2 linked regions of the Canis lupus familiaris genome follow. The protein of the gene in region 2 purifies or fractionates together with the protein of the main gene of each other region. This does not show direct contact. Links are inferred from orthologs where the notes say so. Each region holds a gene or a part of one and is shown on either strand. Other genes may lie near its edges.

Region 1 (8,474 bases), on a different chromosome or scaffold from region 2:
AAATGCAGAAGGGAGGAAAGAAAAGAAATGCAGATGACACCCAAGTGGATGTTTCATGTCTAAAACAGAGCATGTCTGAATAAGATGTATATATTCATAACATTGTAGAAAGATCAGTGTCTTTATTCTGAGTTTATCAAAATCTTCAAGGAGACAGCCATCATTAGCAGTCACGATGTTGCCTCTGGTGGACAGTCTTATTAAAATTTCTCTTCTAGGGATCACTGGGTGGCTCAGCAGTTTAGCACCTGCCTTTGGCCTGGGGTGTGATCCTGGAGACCCGGGATGGAGTCCCATGTTGGGCTCCCTGCATGGAGCCTGCTTCTCCCCCACCTCTGTCTCTGCCTCTCTCATGGATATTTTTTCAAAAATTTCTCTTCTAATGACTAATATGAATGCATCACGATGCATTTTGCTTTCTAGTTTCTAAAAGCACATTCGCAACAGGAAAGACTCGTGAAGCATGTAGTTCTATGTTCTGAAATGACTCTGCTGTGACAAGTAACTAAAGCCTCGTCTCGCTCAGTCACCCAACCAAAGTTTGTGTTGAGCTTTTAAGACACATTGCAGGATCCGTGTAGGTTATTTCCCCCTCTGGGTCTCCAAGGACAGAGAACAGAAGAGCCATTGCTGTCTCATTGTTCTCAACTCTTTTGACACATATCCAGCTACCAATCCTGCTTTTGCCCTTCGATAACTCATTGACCTCACTGAACATTGCCCAAACTAACCACTGTCTCCTGGCCCCCGCCTAGGTCAGGGTTTGGCTCCATATGCAGGCTGGTAACCCAGAAGCTTCCTCCTTCAACCCACTGAGTTCCCATGACAGATAATAAGGCGTCGCCCTGTTGATTCTACCTCCCATTCTCTTGAGCTCACGCAAGGCTTGGCAGCCAAATGGCCATGACTTTAATATCACGTGTTACAGTGAAGCTGCTTTTTTAAGGTTTGAGAGAGTGTACACGAGCAAGGTGGGGAGCAGAAGGAGAGGGAGAAGCAGACTCCCTGCTGAGCAGGGAGCCTGACTTGGGGCTCCTGAGATCATGACCTGAGCCGAAGGCAGATGCTTAACCGACTGAGCCCTCCAGGTGCCCCTGAAGCTGCTCTTACGAGGTTAATGTAATACTTCTTGTGTTAGAATTTTTAATGTCAACAAGCAATGGAAGCATATGCAGAGTTATGAGATCACTCACTCATAACTGGAGGTATGGCACTGTCACAATGTCTTTTATAGTTAGATATCAAAAAAGTAGGGTTGATTTCTAAGCCAGCATCAAAAGAAGTCATGACTATCTTCACCACCATGCCATCCCAAGTCCTGGTCACCTTAGCCAAAACCATAAAGGTTAAAAAGAACAATAGCAACAAAAAACCTTAAGTGACTTAAAAGCTGGTGATCTAAACCTCAGCTTTCTCCTGTGGGTTAAGACCAGATCCCCAGCTCACTTCCAGTGACACAGGCTGGCGATGGTAAGGAATTTAGCGGGGAGGAGAAATCTGCGTTTACACAAGACTGTGCCAGGATGTCTAACAAATCCAATCCCAGAATCAAATTAGAAATGAATAGGCAGGTAGACTTGAAGTTACAGACACCGGTTGGGTGCTTGGTTCCCATCCTCTCACCACCTGGAGCCCTTGGGGGTGGGGCCCATTTCCTTTATGGTAGAGTTGGGGAAGGGGTTTCTAACTCTGGTTCTAGTTACTGGTTGGGATTTCAGGGGAGGTAAGTGGGACTACCCAAAAGCTGTATTTTGGGGAGTTGGAGGTCAGCCAGAGGCTTAATGAGATTCTAACTAAAGGGGCCCTTGGCCCCAAACAGTTATGAATCGCTGATAGCATCTTGTGCATTTACACACATCCCCGATACATTCCAAACTCCCACGATGATTTGTGGAAAATGTTGCAAAGGACGGGTAAGTAATTAAAAGTAGAAGTTAAATTGTGTGATGAGTATCAGGACAGTATTGAGAAAAGCAATCAAAATTGAATTAAGGTGAAATTACAGAAAGAAAATCCATGGTATTTAATTGCATTGCATTTTATTTAGATAAATGAAAATTCACCCCCAAACAGAACTAGGAATCAAATATTGTCTCAGATTAAAAAGAAATGGCTAGGCTTGAAGCTTACTGAAAGCTAAAATTTCCAGCCCTTGACTATTTGTAGCTCCAAACACCAAAGTAAAATATTGGAACACAGTATTTGTAACAGAGAGAGGCAACTTATGTGTACCATTAGCAAAATAACCTGAGGGGGAGCATTTGGTATTCCTCGATTACAAGAAGAGGTGAGAAGTTTACAAGTCTTGCATTGCTTTCTATTGTACATGGCTCTACAGTAATGCCAAAAATAGCAAAATATAGGCACTTGTTCGAACTTTTGCAGTTTACACTTGGCTATTATGTATTAACAGCAGCTTTAGAATTATACTACAGTATTCTATTTCATGCTACTGTTAATTGCATTCCTCTGGTTAATAAAAGTTGCTCAACAGACATTGGTATAGAGCTCGTACAGAAGGAACCCAGGGCACATCCAGGTAGGAGTATGAAAAGCACAGTCACGAAGCAACGACTGCTGGAAATTCACTTGCAATGGCCAGGATAACTTGGCCACATGTGGTCAGAGAACAGAAAATACAGAGTGGAATGGCAGGATGGGGTTTAAACAAACAAAAAACAAAACACAAAAACAAAAAAAATTTCATCTATCACTTGACTATATGAATCTGTAATCTCTTCAAGGCAAAGCCTCCTTGGGCCATAGAGACGAAGTAGGTGTTTGGACCTGTCAGGAGCCCCTTAGACATTCCTCTCATCTCTACTATCTCCTGGTTGGTCTTCGAAAATTGACACCAGCACTTGGATTAATTTTTAAGTCTCCAGTTGGTAAAAGATACTTAGATCAGGGTTGTGTTTTTTTTTTTTTTAATTTGGGGATTTTAAAGCTTAATAAGCTTGGATGACTGTTACATATGAGAGTAACTCCTAAAGGGTTATTAAACATTTTCCAACTACAAGGCCATACACTGTTATCATGAGATGTCTAATATTGCCATTTTAGTTGTCAGGTTTGTTGATATAACATCAACTACTTTCTGATTTTAACAGCCTATTTTCCTTCTGCTAAACTAGTGTTTCTAGAACATCTAGGATGCTTTAAAATCATTAGCTAGCAGGTGAAATTTGGGTTTGCTCACCAGAGTTCTACGTTTCAGTGCAATTTAAGAAACCTTTCTTTATGTGCCACGCCATTTCTACATGTGAAAAAGTGGAACTCTATAGAGTACACAGGCGACTGTGGCAATTTGACAAAACTTTTTACATCTTAGCATGAATCATAAATCATTGACATTTTAAAAAAATTCTAAAAGCACCTGTTAGGTAAGGCATTTTTATCATTAAGCCTTCTTAAGATTTCTTTCTAGACATCTTTCATTGTTTAAGACCGAAACTAATAAAAGAAAATTGACCTTTTCAGGAAGACGCACCACCAGATGGTGGCACTGTGTCAGTACTGTCAGTCTCAAAGCCCTTGGTTTATTTTAGCTGATGCCTCTCTGCTAGGAGTTCCTCGGCACATGACCTCAAACTGGTATCAAGTGGTGACATCATGTGGCAACTACACCAGAAACTTCTACTTTACCTGCTTTTAGCACTCAGGAGACACGCCCCAGGCTTCCTAGTATCTAATAAAACCAGCAAATCTAAGTGAAGCAAATATTTTATTTAAATCAGTTGTCAAATCACAGTTTATCCAAATGAACATAATGCAACATTGTCCTTAAAAGAGTGGGCACAAATATGGCACAGATACAATCCAGTACCTATCAAAATACCATTTGTCAAGAACCTGACTGACTTCATGCTGCGTGTGAGTGTGGTCCAGCATAGAAGAGTAGAATCAAAAACTTAAAAAACAGCCAAATTGTTTTCTTGATAAGATGAAAAACATTTCTCACTGCTTTGCCTCAGGATTTAAGCACACTCATCTGTCCAAACCACCACAATCCAGAGAAAAGGCTTAAAAGTTAATCTGCTACTGAAAAAAACTCCCTTCCAACCCCCACTGAGCTAGAAAGAAAAATTTCACAGTAACAATGGAACATTCTGTATGTTCCCCCCCAAAAAAAGCTTATTTTTAGCACACTGTGCATAATAGGAGAGTGACCAATTTTAGAGCGATATGAAACACAGACCTACTCCTTAGTGGATTTTAAAGTACAAACTATAGCTTCTGATCAGGAATGTTGTCTCCAGGAAGCTGTTTTCACAGGTTACAGCTGAGGCTTAGAGCTTCCCAAGGCTTGACCACGGCTGCATGCCCCCGCCACGTGCTGTGTGATACAAAACTGCACATTTCCTTAATTGTTAAGAAAAAAAAAATATACAATAGATACAGGAAGGGTTACTTAAAACATACATATAAATACATAAAGGATGATACTCCAGTTTGAGAAGCAGAACTAGGTTTGGCCAACTCCAGTTCCAGGTTAAGAATTTAGGACCTTAAATCAGAAACATTATAATAAGGGTATCAAGGGAAAGTAATGGGGTGGCCCTGCGAAGAGGAAACGTTAAATGGCTCTAGCTCCCGATGCAGCCTCAGGGTTGTCAGGGTGCTCCAGAAAGGAGGTCAGTCGAGGGGCCTGTTCTTCGGTTCTGAGTCTGAAACACTGGTCTCGAGTCTCGTCAGCAGCGTCCATTTCCTCCTACCACTCGTCTTCACATTCCGGTCTTGCAGACACTCAGGGTGGACCTGTAGGAGGAAGCAAGAATCAAAATTTGATCAAGTCTCCTCTCCTCTTCGTTCACTCCAGGAGCAGCAGAAGCCCTGACAGAGGAGTGCAGCCCCTGGGAAAGTGAGTGGGTCAGGGCCCACGGCAGGTCAGGCTGGGCGCTCCCCAAACCCGCAGCTGTGGCTCCCCAGCACCAACATCCAGGCGCATCACACGCACTGGGAAATTTTTAAATGCTTGTTACTGCTGATGGGGGGATAATTTTTTTTTCTAGAGAGCTATCAACTAAAATTTCAAGCTGTAGGATATAAACTTATGTTGGACTTCTGGTTATAGGGAAAAATTCAATAAACTGGTTAGTCTGGTGCTGGGAACACAACATATTTCTTATGCCTTCGAGCCAAACATACAAATGCACACACACGCACATACATACACACCCCCTGATTTTCCTTGAAAGCAGTCACATAGGGGTGAACCGAGGCCATTATTTTCCTACAGGTAAGACTGAATGGCACGTCGGTGAGAGGGGAACAAAGGAAGGGAGCCTAGATCTCCTTGATTATTATTCAACTCAAGGTTCTGCACAAAGTCATAAGGATTAAACTCCTGCTTCCCTTAGAACGAATGTGCCATCAAATGGCCACAAAGAGGCAAAGACTGCTTTAGGGGGAAAGGAAGCTTGCTTACATGATGCATTAGGATCCTGTGGGTTCTGATTTGGCCGGTTCTCCCTCTTGTTTCTGTGTCTCGTCCCGTGTTTGGGTTTGAATCTCATCTTCTGGCTCGCTGTGGACTTTGGCTTCCTGGAATTCTACTTCCTGGCCACCTTCCTTCTTTTTGCCTGTTGGTCCATCCGTGTCCGGGGCCTCTTGGCTTACGTCTCCTGGGGCCTCAGAATCTTCCAGGGGTGAGCACGAGTGGTGGCTCTCAGGGTCATCAACCTCATCACCTTTTTTATCTTCTTGGGATTCAAAGAGCGACTCCTCTATCCTTCCTTCTGACCCGGCACCATCACAATCTTCTGGGACAGGCTCGGTTCTGGCTGTTTCTTTCTTTTCTTCAGATGGGAGAGCTGCCTCTTCAAGCTGCTGGTCATGGACGCTTGAACTTTCTACCTCGATGGCTGTGATCTTTTCTGGAGCTTCACTCACAGCTTCCGAGGCTTCAGAAACCTCAGAAGGGGTCTGCTCCACGGCGGTTAGTGGGGGTTCTTCTTTGGCGTCAACAGTGTGGGTTCCATCTGGTGCAGAGGCCTGAAGCTCGCCTCCTTCCGTCTCAACGTGCGGCCTGGCCTCCGAGCTGGCCTCCTGGCCGTCCGCCGTCAGCGGCTGAGCCTGGGTCTGGAGGTCCGCGGCTGTTTCTTCCGCGCCTCCTAACTGACCAACAACTGTCTGGATCACATTCTGTACAAGTTTACTACTCTCGGTCTGAAGTTTCGAGAGGTCGTTTTCAGCCTTTAGATCCTCCTCTCTTGCCGGGACTTCCTGGCAAGCAGCCGGCCCGTCCTCTTCCTCTGAGGTCTGTCTCTGGGGGGTGGTTTTCTCTCCTTCCGGGGCAGCGCTCGTGCCTCCGTCAGGCTCAGCTGATGCGGTTCCCGGGGCAGTTCCCGGGGCAGTTCCCGGTCCAGGTTCCGGCCGAGCCTCAGTCCCCGTGGGCACCTCGACCGCCCCTGGCTGGGCCGTCAGGCCTTCATCCTTTGTGGAGGATTCTTCTTCTGGGGCTAAATGTGCGCCCGCAGGTTCCAGGGTCTCACTGGCATCTACACTCTTGACAGCTTCTCCCAAGACCTTCTCCTCCACCACTGCGGCTGTTAGAGGTAACGGTTCAGAGCTCTGCACTTGGACTTCTGTGCATACCGCTGCCTCTTCAACTAGCTGCGGACAACTTTCTTCCCAAATGGTAACCTCCTTTTCCCCGTCGATGACGGCCACCCTAACTGTCTGCACCAGTTCCTTGCTAAGCTCCTCAGAGACGGTCACGGTGGGTTTTTGCTCAAGTTCTTCTTCGGTGGCTTGGGTTGGCTTTGCTTCTATTTCCTCCTTTTCTACTTGAACTACCAGCTCCCTCCCCACCGGGCTGGGAGAGGGTGTACGGCTCTGGACTTCGGTATCATCCTCCTTCTTCTGAAATTCGGGGTCTTCAGTAGCTTCATCTTGAAGGGCAAGGTCACTCGTCTCTTCCTGACTGATGGTTGTTTCAGGGGCCGCTGTCACATCAGGGCCGTCGACGAGAGCTTCGTCTTTGCTTTCCCTATCGGCGAACTGGCCTTCCTCTTCTATCACGTCGGTCTTTGAAAGAGTGGGTACAGCTTCCACCGATACCTCTTTGTCCGTGCGTTCTAGAATCTCTTCCATTTTTGAATGTCCTTTATCTTCTTCTTCGGATGGGAAAGTAGAAGGTGCTGGAGGCCCCTCTTCGGGTGCAGGAACTGCCTCTGCTTCTGTGACCTGGGGCGGTGCGCCCGATGCAACCTCAGGACCTTCGTGCATCCCCGGGATCTGCTCTGGTTGTGTTACATGGAGAGCTTCAAAATCAGCTACTGGGGTGCTCCCGTTGGTCTCGCTGTCTGTGAGGGTTTCAGCTGAGTCCGGGGCAACAGCCTGTTCCAGAATCGATTCTGATGTTGCCCCAACCAGGGTTTCAGCTTGACAAGTGGTTCTAAGCTCACTGGACTCCACGCTGTCTGTGACTTGAGGAACTTTCTCCAAGCTTTCTGGGGTGGCCTGTACGATTACTTCCCCTTGTGCCAAAGTCTCAGGTTTAGTTTCTTGTGCACGTTCTTCCAGCGCTACCTCCGTCTCTTTCTTCAGGTCTTGCCTTTGTGAATCCTCTTCCGCTTCCTCCACCTTCTCTGGTATCTCGGCTTCTACTCCCCGCGTTGTCCGAGTGGTGTCTTCTGGCCCTCTGGTGTCAGGCAGTGGTGATTCTTCTCTCACTTTTTCTGCAACTGCCTGCAGGACCTCTTGAGTCCGCCTCTCTTGGTCTTCGAGGCGTGGTACGCCACCTTCCACCTCCTGAACAGGCGTTGCTACCTCTGTGGTGTCTGGAGAGTCCGTTAGCTGAGAAACAGCGGACACCATGTCGGCGGTCTCTTCAGCACCAGATGCCTCTGCTGCTTCTTCAGCACAAAGGGCCCCGGTAGCTTCCGCGGCTGTCACAGCTTCCGAAGTTAATTCCGCCTCACTCACGACTGTGTCATCAATGGCATCTTGACCCTCTGGTAGAGGTTTGGTAACAGAGGTTTCCTCTGCAAGGACTTCTCCTTCAAACACGTCCTCGGTTAGGGGTTTGGCTTCATCTTCCGTTTCGTCAAGAGGCTCTGTCACCGAAGCGGATATCCAAGATGGCGACCTTTCTTCCACATTGGTAAGAGCCCTTGCCCCGTCAAGGACAGTCACCGTGACCCCACGTACCAGATCCGTACTGAGCTCCTCTGACACAGAAACAGCGGCCTTCTGCTCAGGCTGCTCCTCACTTTTTTGGGCCTGCTGGGCTTCGATTTTCTCCCTTTCTACTGCATCATACTCGGACAGGGGAACCACGGCCGGGACATCGGAATCCTCTTCATTGACCTCTGCTGGTCCTGCGTCTTCCACAGCGGTTTGTTCTGGTTTCCCATCGGACCTTTTCTTCCGTCGTCCGGGAATGAATTTCTTAATCGAAACCCAAGACTCTTCTTTCCCAGGTTCTGCATCTGAAGCTGAATGTTCTACACCAGACCCAGTTACAGACT
Region 2 (7,761 bases):
TGCAAGGTGGGAAAAGCCTTACATTAGCAAAACAAAACAAAACAAAACAAAAAACCGACTAAATTACTCACACACTTAATCGAGTGGAACAGCTGGAATCTGCGTACCCCTCGATTCCTTCCTGGAACCCTGTTGTCAACACTGCAGACAGACCACACTTGGCCCTCAGAGGGACCGCTCTGCCCCCACAAGAAGCAGCTGACAGCCCTGCAGGGCCACAAAGAGTTTTCCTGCACAGTCACGTGGCTTACAGAATAGCCAGGATGTTCAGCTCTCAAAGACGGGACAGGAGAACCGACACATGATTACACTCCCTTCAATATAAACTGTGAGCCTTTGGGAAGGGTGTGAGTGAAGCAAGGTCTGACGAAGCTGGCGATCCAGGTGTTGTCCCATTTTTTTTCCAGAGTATGGGGAGCCTGGGCACCTCTGACTCTTGCTCAGCCTCGCATACATAGTCCGTAAGCTTAGTATCAGTACAAATAGGTAAGTAAGCGCAATTAAAAAATGAAGCCATGGGAAATCAAAGGCAACAATGTCATCAACAAAATTCAAAGTGCGTTTTCCCTTCGTTGTTGTTGTTGTTTAACAAGTAAAGCAGCACATTGTAGAAATAAAGATTCTGTACAATATTCTAATATCGTATGTACATAAAATTATATTACTTATAACTAAGTTGAGAAGTCTTATTTGCAGAATATGGCTGGCAACACCAAAGAGAGATCCAAGAACATTTATAGCTTTTGAAGCAGAGCAGGCAAGAGAACCAGAACCCTAGCAAGCACACCTTTGTGCCTGGACACGCAATCCTGCGGCAAAGTTAACGTGACTAGCGTTCTAGCATTCTCTGGGTCAGGGGTTTGTTTGTGTTTCACATTCGAGCAGGGAATTCTGCAGCAGGCGGTGTGAAAAGACATGTGCAAATGAAACTGGAAATGCTTTTTCGAATCTGCATATCTGGCTATGGGAATGGGTTTGTGAATCCAGCTTGCCCTGAAGTTAGCTCCTTAGCTCATCTTCCCTTCATTCATTATGCATGCCTCCAGGGATTTAAAATCTTTAAAATCGAAATGAGTTCCAGCAGACACACCAGTTGGTTCCTCACCTCATTCTTACCGGGGTGTCTTTCTTCCAACTTGTCTCCTTCACAGGCCATGTCCCCAAGCCAGGTGGAGCCCCAGCCCCACTCGCTGAGGGTAGGGTGTGGGACTCTGGCTCTTCGCTAGAAAAATCCTCTCCCTAAGGGAGCCCCAAACAGGAAGACTGCAGGCGCTGGTCGCTGGTCTGTGCCTCAGCTTCCAACAAAACCTAAAGTTAGTTCTCAGATTCCCTCGGAGCCACAGTCCTCTGTGGTGTCTACTGAAAATGCAAATGCTGGTCGCCCTCCCCGAGACTCAGCTTCAATTTTTAAGAGGGACAGCATCCAGAAACCTGTTTTTAAGAGGTACCCAGGCAGTGCTGACGAGAGGGATCCACAGATCAGCTTTGAGAAGACCTGGCTTAACTCATTGAGTACAGATCTATGAATTCCTTTCAGATACGCTTTAAAAACGGAAGATTTTAATGAAACATTTCATCGTACAGATTCTCTATCCATGTGTAACCAATGTATTCTTTTTGAAATGTGGGAGTGCTGGCCAAAACTCTCTGAGAGATGAGGATGAGGAGGGAGTTAAGTTACGTACCCTTGTCAGGGTGAGGGGCTGTTTCAGACTCCTGGGCTTGCTGATGTGAACAAGGCAAACCGCAAGCCCATTTCCTCACGCAGAAGCCCACTAAACTTGGCTTGAATTATTTATGAATTCAGAAATCAGAATCTAGCATCTGGGGAAAGATGCCACACAGCATATGATTTGGTATAAATCAGCAGTGCCTGACTATCCATTTCCCTCGAAGCAAGCTTTCGCTGCCGAAAAGCTAAGGTGTCAGCTCTCCCACTCACTCAAATCCTAGTAGATTAGCTCAGGCTATGGTTACTCCTCCCTGAACCTATTCAGAATTGAAATGATGAGACCCTAAAATAGTGCCCAGCAGGGCCAGTCCTCTCCCACCAGCTGAAAATGCTCCCAGTTTCGTGAATCATCGCTTTTAATCACATGATGATGAAAAGCAATTAACTGCAGATGGACAGCATTCTGGGTCGACTGCCATCCACAAAATGTAAAAAAGAAAAGTCTCAAATAGATGAAGAATCTCCTCTTGGCTCAAAGATCTCATTTCAAATCTAGAAAGATAGCAATAGGGCCTCCTACGTTCTACCTAACGGGAGATCCGTGCAAATGAGGCTGAATCACTGCTGCAGAAACAGACTGATTCCCTTGTGCGGGTGGGTGTGTTTCACCACTCTGTACCTGTGAAAACTAGCTGCTCTTCCAGGATCCTCAGCTTTCTCATCCCCAAACCTCAACCTCAATTTCCAACAGTTTTTCTGACTCCAGTGTGCCCTCGAAAATCCCTAATTATTTCTAGCCCTAGTTGTTCCCATCTTCCCTGCTGAAATTCAGGTGAGCAATGCTGAGGGTCAAGGACAAGGGGGAAAGGACAGTCAAGGGGTAGGGGGGAGGTCCGCAGATGCAGGTGAGCTTAGTCCAAGGGGGCAGGCGGCGGGGCGGGCCGGTTAGTAATTTAAGAAGTCAATCCCAACCTTGACACTCTTCGCGGTGGCTATATCGACGGCCGTGGCCTTGATCTCTGTGTCCCCAAACTGCATGAGGGTCTGGATCTCCCTCCGGGCGGGCACGGCCGTGCCGCTGGTCCCTGTGAGATCCAGGCGGAGCGTGCCACACTTCTTCACCCCCGGGTCGGTGATGAAGCTCACGTCGTCGCACTCGGAGCTGTATATGTTGATGACGATGACCAGCTGGGAAGGCTTGGCCGGGGTGTAGCTACGCTTCACCAGCTCCCCCAGGGCCACCGACTGGTCGGCAGAAATGAACTTATCAAACACATCGGTGCACCAGCGAGTCCCATCCTTCACCAGAAGCTTCTCAGGAGGATGCTTGCCCTCCACGTAGCGGTTCAGCACGCCCACCCCGTAGGTGAGCGGTGATCGGCGCACCTTGATGACCGCGGGGTCCAGGCCGAAGAGGACCGCGCCCTTGAGGATAGTGAGGCCCACGTCCTGGGGGATGATGATGCGGCACTTGTCACCAAAGGCGGCCTGAACTGCCTGCTGCAGGAGGGGCGCCTCTGCAAAGCCTCCCACCAGGAAGAGGAACTTGACAGTGGACACCTCGGGCTTCTGAAACAGATCCCCTGAAAACAAAGAGTAAGGGACAATATGCTGTCACCAAAAGCCACACCACCAAGGGAGACTGGTGGCCCAAGAGCGTGGGGAACACGGACCAAACCACTTGGGCCCGCTGCGGGGGCAGATGTGGCTATGCTGGTTGGACAGAATTTTTGTACAGCTGGTCTTTGAAAGAGAAGGTTTTGCACACTAATATGCGCAAGAAGTGAACACCAAAGCTCTTGGTCAGTAGAACTCATTTTTATAGCTAGATGGTGATGGTTTTCACTAGTAATTTGTTAGGCATAAATGAATAGTCCTAACCTTCTCCAAGCCTGTGGTCCTGTTAAATCAGTAAAGGCAGGCTGTTCTCAAAACTGTTCTTTAGTTTTCAAAGGGGTTCTGATGTGGGAGGTGTGGGGTGGGATGTGGATGGGGGGCCTGGATACTGCAAAAGGTGCCCAGTGAGTTTACTGTGGGTCCCCATGCACCAGCTAGTGATGCTAGAAAAGTCGGTCCCCTTTCTTGGCTCTGCCCTACTGAGTGGCTGAGCCCTGGCTGATACTTACGAAGATGCTCAATGATGCTGTCAATGGTTGGCTTAAAAAGGGCATTCATGGCATCTGGACTCATCCTCAGCATCCCTTGTGAGGACCACTTCACAAAATCCACACTGTGGGGGTGTGGCATGGAGAGAAACAGGTAGTGAGTGTGTGAATGATACTCAGGCTAATGTGTACAGACATGGGTGCTAGCAGAACAGCTGTCACATCGAAGGAACAGAAGGGTTTGAAAGTCCCTGGAAATATCCTCAACTGCCAGAACCTGGACCCTTAGACACTCAAAAGCCAAGACACAGCCTCTTCTGTTTCTCTTTGCTTTGTGCTGTGGCCAACCTTCCCTTGGAATGGCAGAAGCCAAAGTCTAGTGCAAAATATAGGGTGAGAATTAAAGGGATCTTTCTGGTTTGAATGTCCACATTTTTTAGTCGAGTGATAGTCAGATTTGAGTCCATTAATGAGTCCATTAAATGCTCATATGATGTGTCCACTGTGCTGTGGCCTATGGCTACAAGCCTGTGTGCTCAGGTGCCTTTTCGTAAGCCCTGTGGGCACCCGTCCCATGACAGTGACAGGCCTAATCCAACTAGGATGTCCCTTTCTCTGTCAAAGGTACAGAACATGCAAAGCAACAGCATGGAACAGAAAGAGCACTAGATGGGGAGTCAGGAGTGCCCGGCCCCAGGATGGTCTCTGTCCCTCAGAACCTGTGGAACTTTTGGGAAAGTTGAGCTGCAATTTCTCTGAGCCCCAGTCTCTTATCTGGAAATCAAAGATAATACAACTTGTCTTACCTCCCTCATTGGGGTTGTTGTGAAGATGAAGTTAAATACCACATTTGTGAAAACACTTTGGAAATGCCAGGGACTATTATTGCAGCCTGTACCCGCTCATTCTCAAGTTCAAAGACCAAACAAATGGCATCTGTCCTTGAAGCAAAGCATGTGCCAGCTGCTTCCTAGCATCACCTTCTAGATGCTTCCAGGTCTCCCTGACCAGGCAGTCTTTCTGTGGCCTCGGCCAAAGGACAATGTGGGATGGTATGGGATGATCCATGGGTTGGCTGTAGCCAGTCCCCCCAGAAGGAATGCTGACAGGCCCCAGACTGTGTGAGCAGGATTTGGGGTTCAGCTGGGAGCAAGCACCTCCATGGGAGGCCAGTGGACAGAGAGACCATGAGCCTAGAGTCTCATAAGAGTCCAGCCAGGACCCTGCTCCAAGGGCAAGAAGACCCAATATCCTATCTCCTTTATTTCCTGCTAAACAGAGCCCGGCTTCTTTTTTTTTTTTTTTTTTTTTTTAATTTTTATTTATTTATGATAGTCACATCAGAGAGAGAGAGAGAGAGAGAGAGGCAGAGACACAGGCAGAGGGAGAAGCAGGCAGGCTCCATGCACCGGAAGCCCGACGTGGGATTCGATCCCAGGTCTCCAGGATCGCGCCCTGGGCCAAAGGCAGGCGCTAAACCGCTGCGCCACCCAGGGATCCCCAGAGCCCGGCTTCTTAGAGAACTGGCCGATTGCAGGTCTGGGATGGGGAGCATACAAGATGAGCCAGGAGCATCTTCTCAAACCAGAAGTCAGACCACAATATCGTATCAATGGGACTCAGGAGCCAATTTGAAGAAGCTCCTCCTGGCCAAGACGGGACATTGTGATGATCAATAAGGATACAACTGCCATGGTTTAAAATACACCAAATATGCCTAAATCCATGAAGTCTGAAAGGTATCCCCACAAAAGGAAAAAAAGCATTTGTCACTTAGGAGAATGCTAGGAATTCCACAATTTTTTTTTTGTTGTTGTTGTTTTTTAACAAAAAATGTTTAAATGAAAGGAAAGAACCAAGCATTTGTCCTGTCTTCTCTATATGAACTGTACTTCAGTGGGCAACCAAACCACTTAGGAGAAGAGTTTCTCTCTCCAGAAGCATGCTAGCTAACAGATGCAGGAGGAGTGAGAGACGAAGAGGCCACCCATTAGCTTGGTGGGCCTAGGCAACAATGGCTAGCTAGCATCCCAAAAGAAGCAACCAGCAAATAGCATGTGCTCCCTGATGTGATGCAAAGGGAAATACTATCCCCTGCCCCCGCCACGAAGTAGGTTTGCCAAAAACTCAAACTTGCATCTGACCAAATCTCTAGCTCAGTCTGACAATTTATAAAAAATACCAGGGGACCAAACATGTTATGTGGGCATGCAATGAGCAAAAACCCCAGCCTATAGAAGTCTCTATGGGACAATCAGCTTTATCATCTAATAAACTAAAGAAAAAACAGGAGGGTGATCCTATATGTTAAGTGGGACGTAGAGGCATGCCAGAGCATTGCTATGAATAGCCATCTTTTAGATAGTAATGCAAACTGAAAAAAAATAAGACGATAGGAAAAATTTGAATGTTCCCTGGGTATATTTGAAGGATACTGAAGAATTGTTTTAAGTGTGATAGGAATAAGTGTCATGGTTTTGATTTTCAAATTATCTCCCTTAGAGATACACTGTTATATTTATGGATTAGATGATGATCAGATTTGCTTTAAAATGCTTGGGGAAGGGTACATGAGGATTTAGATTGGCCAGGAACTGACAGTTGTTGAAGCTGAATAATGAGATTCATTTGCCCAGTAAATGTTTGAAATTTTCCACTATAAAAAAGATTTTTAGAAACCTATGATTTTTGTCTATTAATTTTGTACTTCAGCTTTAAAATAGCTTCCAAATGTTCATTTTGCAACAAGCTGAACTACAAACACTTGCCTGCAGCCAAGAGACTCAGAGTAGCAGGAAACCCAGGATCCCACAGGATTCATTCAACAAATATTTACTGAGCACCTGCTATGTCCACACCAGATTCTATTGTAGATACGGAGGATATAGCAGAGGCCAAAACACACAAAATTCCCTGCTTTCATAAAGCTTATAATTATTAGCACATAATAAAAGCTAACACAAAAATAGTACTTTCCAGGTCCAAGGCATTGTGCTAAGTGCCTCACATATGAATTCACTTCATCCTCATGACAACCGTTTGAGGTAGGTGGAACCATCATCTTTGTTTTCTAGATGAAAAACTGAGAAACAGAGAAGTTGAGTCACTTGCCCAAGCACTTACATAGGATTGGAACTCAGAGTCCTCACCCCTTTCTTCCCTCCCATCAACATGAGCCACCCTCTAGAATGGCCTAAGCCCCTGGTGAGTCCAACTCACTTGCTCTTCCTCAAGGCATGCTCCACACTGTGTCCACGGAACTTCTTGTAGTAGTCAATGAAGGAGAAGGGCAGGGTGATGTTCAGTGGGTTAGTTCGGTCCGGAGCAGCTGCCCTTTTACGAGACTCAAATGCAATCATTAAGTCAACCCAGGCTGCAGGACGCTTGATTTTGAATTGTTCGATAAAATCCTCTCCAAATATTTTACACAGAAGTTTTTCAAATTCATAATCTACTCCTAAGGATCCGTAGGGTCCACCTGGGTCAAGAACAAAATGGGAGTCCACCATGTTAAAAACTGCCAGAAACTGAATCCAAACTCTGAGGAACAGCGTACCTGCTGTTCTTCCCTGAAATATGGAGTAGCTCAGCTTAGACCCAGTTAGCAAGCTGACTGTGGCTATAAATTTTTACTAACACTTTAAAATCCTTCAGTTCTTCTCCTCCCAGGTGGAGATACTTTCTCCTACAGAATCACCTGTCAACTAGCTGTTTAAAATCCATTACATTCTTTTTTTTTTTTTAAGATTTTAAAGTAATCTCTACACCCAACGTGGGGCTTGAACTCACAACCTCAAGATGGAGAGTTGCATGCTGCATGGACTGAGCCAGCCAGGGGCCCCATATCATCACTTTCATTTTAAATAAAATGGATATGTGTAATATGTAGGAGCATCATAGTATTCCCCACCCAAGAAATCCAAGGACAGGGTCTGGAAAAATCAGTAGGCCCACCCAGACCCTGTGATCTGTTCATTACTCAAC

The links. The genes of interacting proteins can lie anywhere in the genome.
Region 1: the proteins of HSPA12A (region 2) and AKAP12 purify together in Homo sapiens (affinity purification with mass spectrometry; 3 studies listed by BioGRID and IntAct, with this or other methods). This does not show direct contact. The link is inferred for Canis lupus familiaris from reciprocal best matches to the Homo sapiens genes HSPA12A and AKAP12.

What each region holds. Positions count from the first base shown.
Region 1 is NC_049222.1:42,114,849-42,123,322, reverse strand, and holds the end of AKAP12 (A-kinase anchor protein 12), read right to left. Parts: coding exon 5,437-8,474; 3' UTR 5,429-5,436; intron 4,759-5,428; 3' UTR 2,023-4,758; downstream 1-2,022. UniProt on the Homo sapiens protein: Anchoring protein that mediates the subcellular compartmentation of protein kinase A (PKA) and protein kinase C (PKC).
Region 2 is NC_049249.1:27,532,512-27,540,272, forward strand, and holds part of HSPA12A (heat shock 70 kDa protein 12A), read right to left. Parts: intron 7,256-7,761; coding exon 6,997-7,255; intron 3,903-6,996; coding exon 3,799-3,902; intron 3,256-3,798; coding exon 2,618-3,255; 3' UTR 1-2,617. UniProt on the Homo sapiens protein: Adapter protein for SORL1, but not SORT1. Delays SORL1 internalization and affects SORL1 subcellular localization.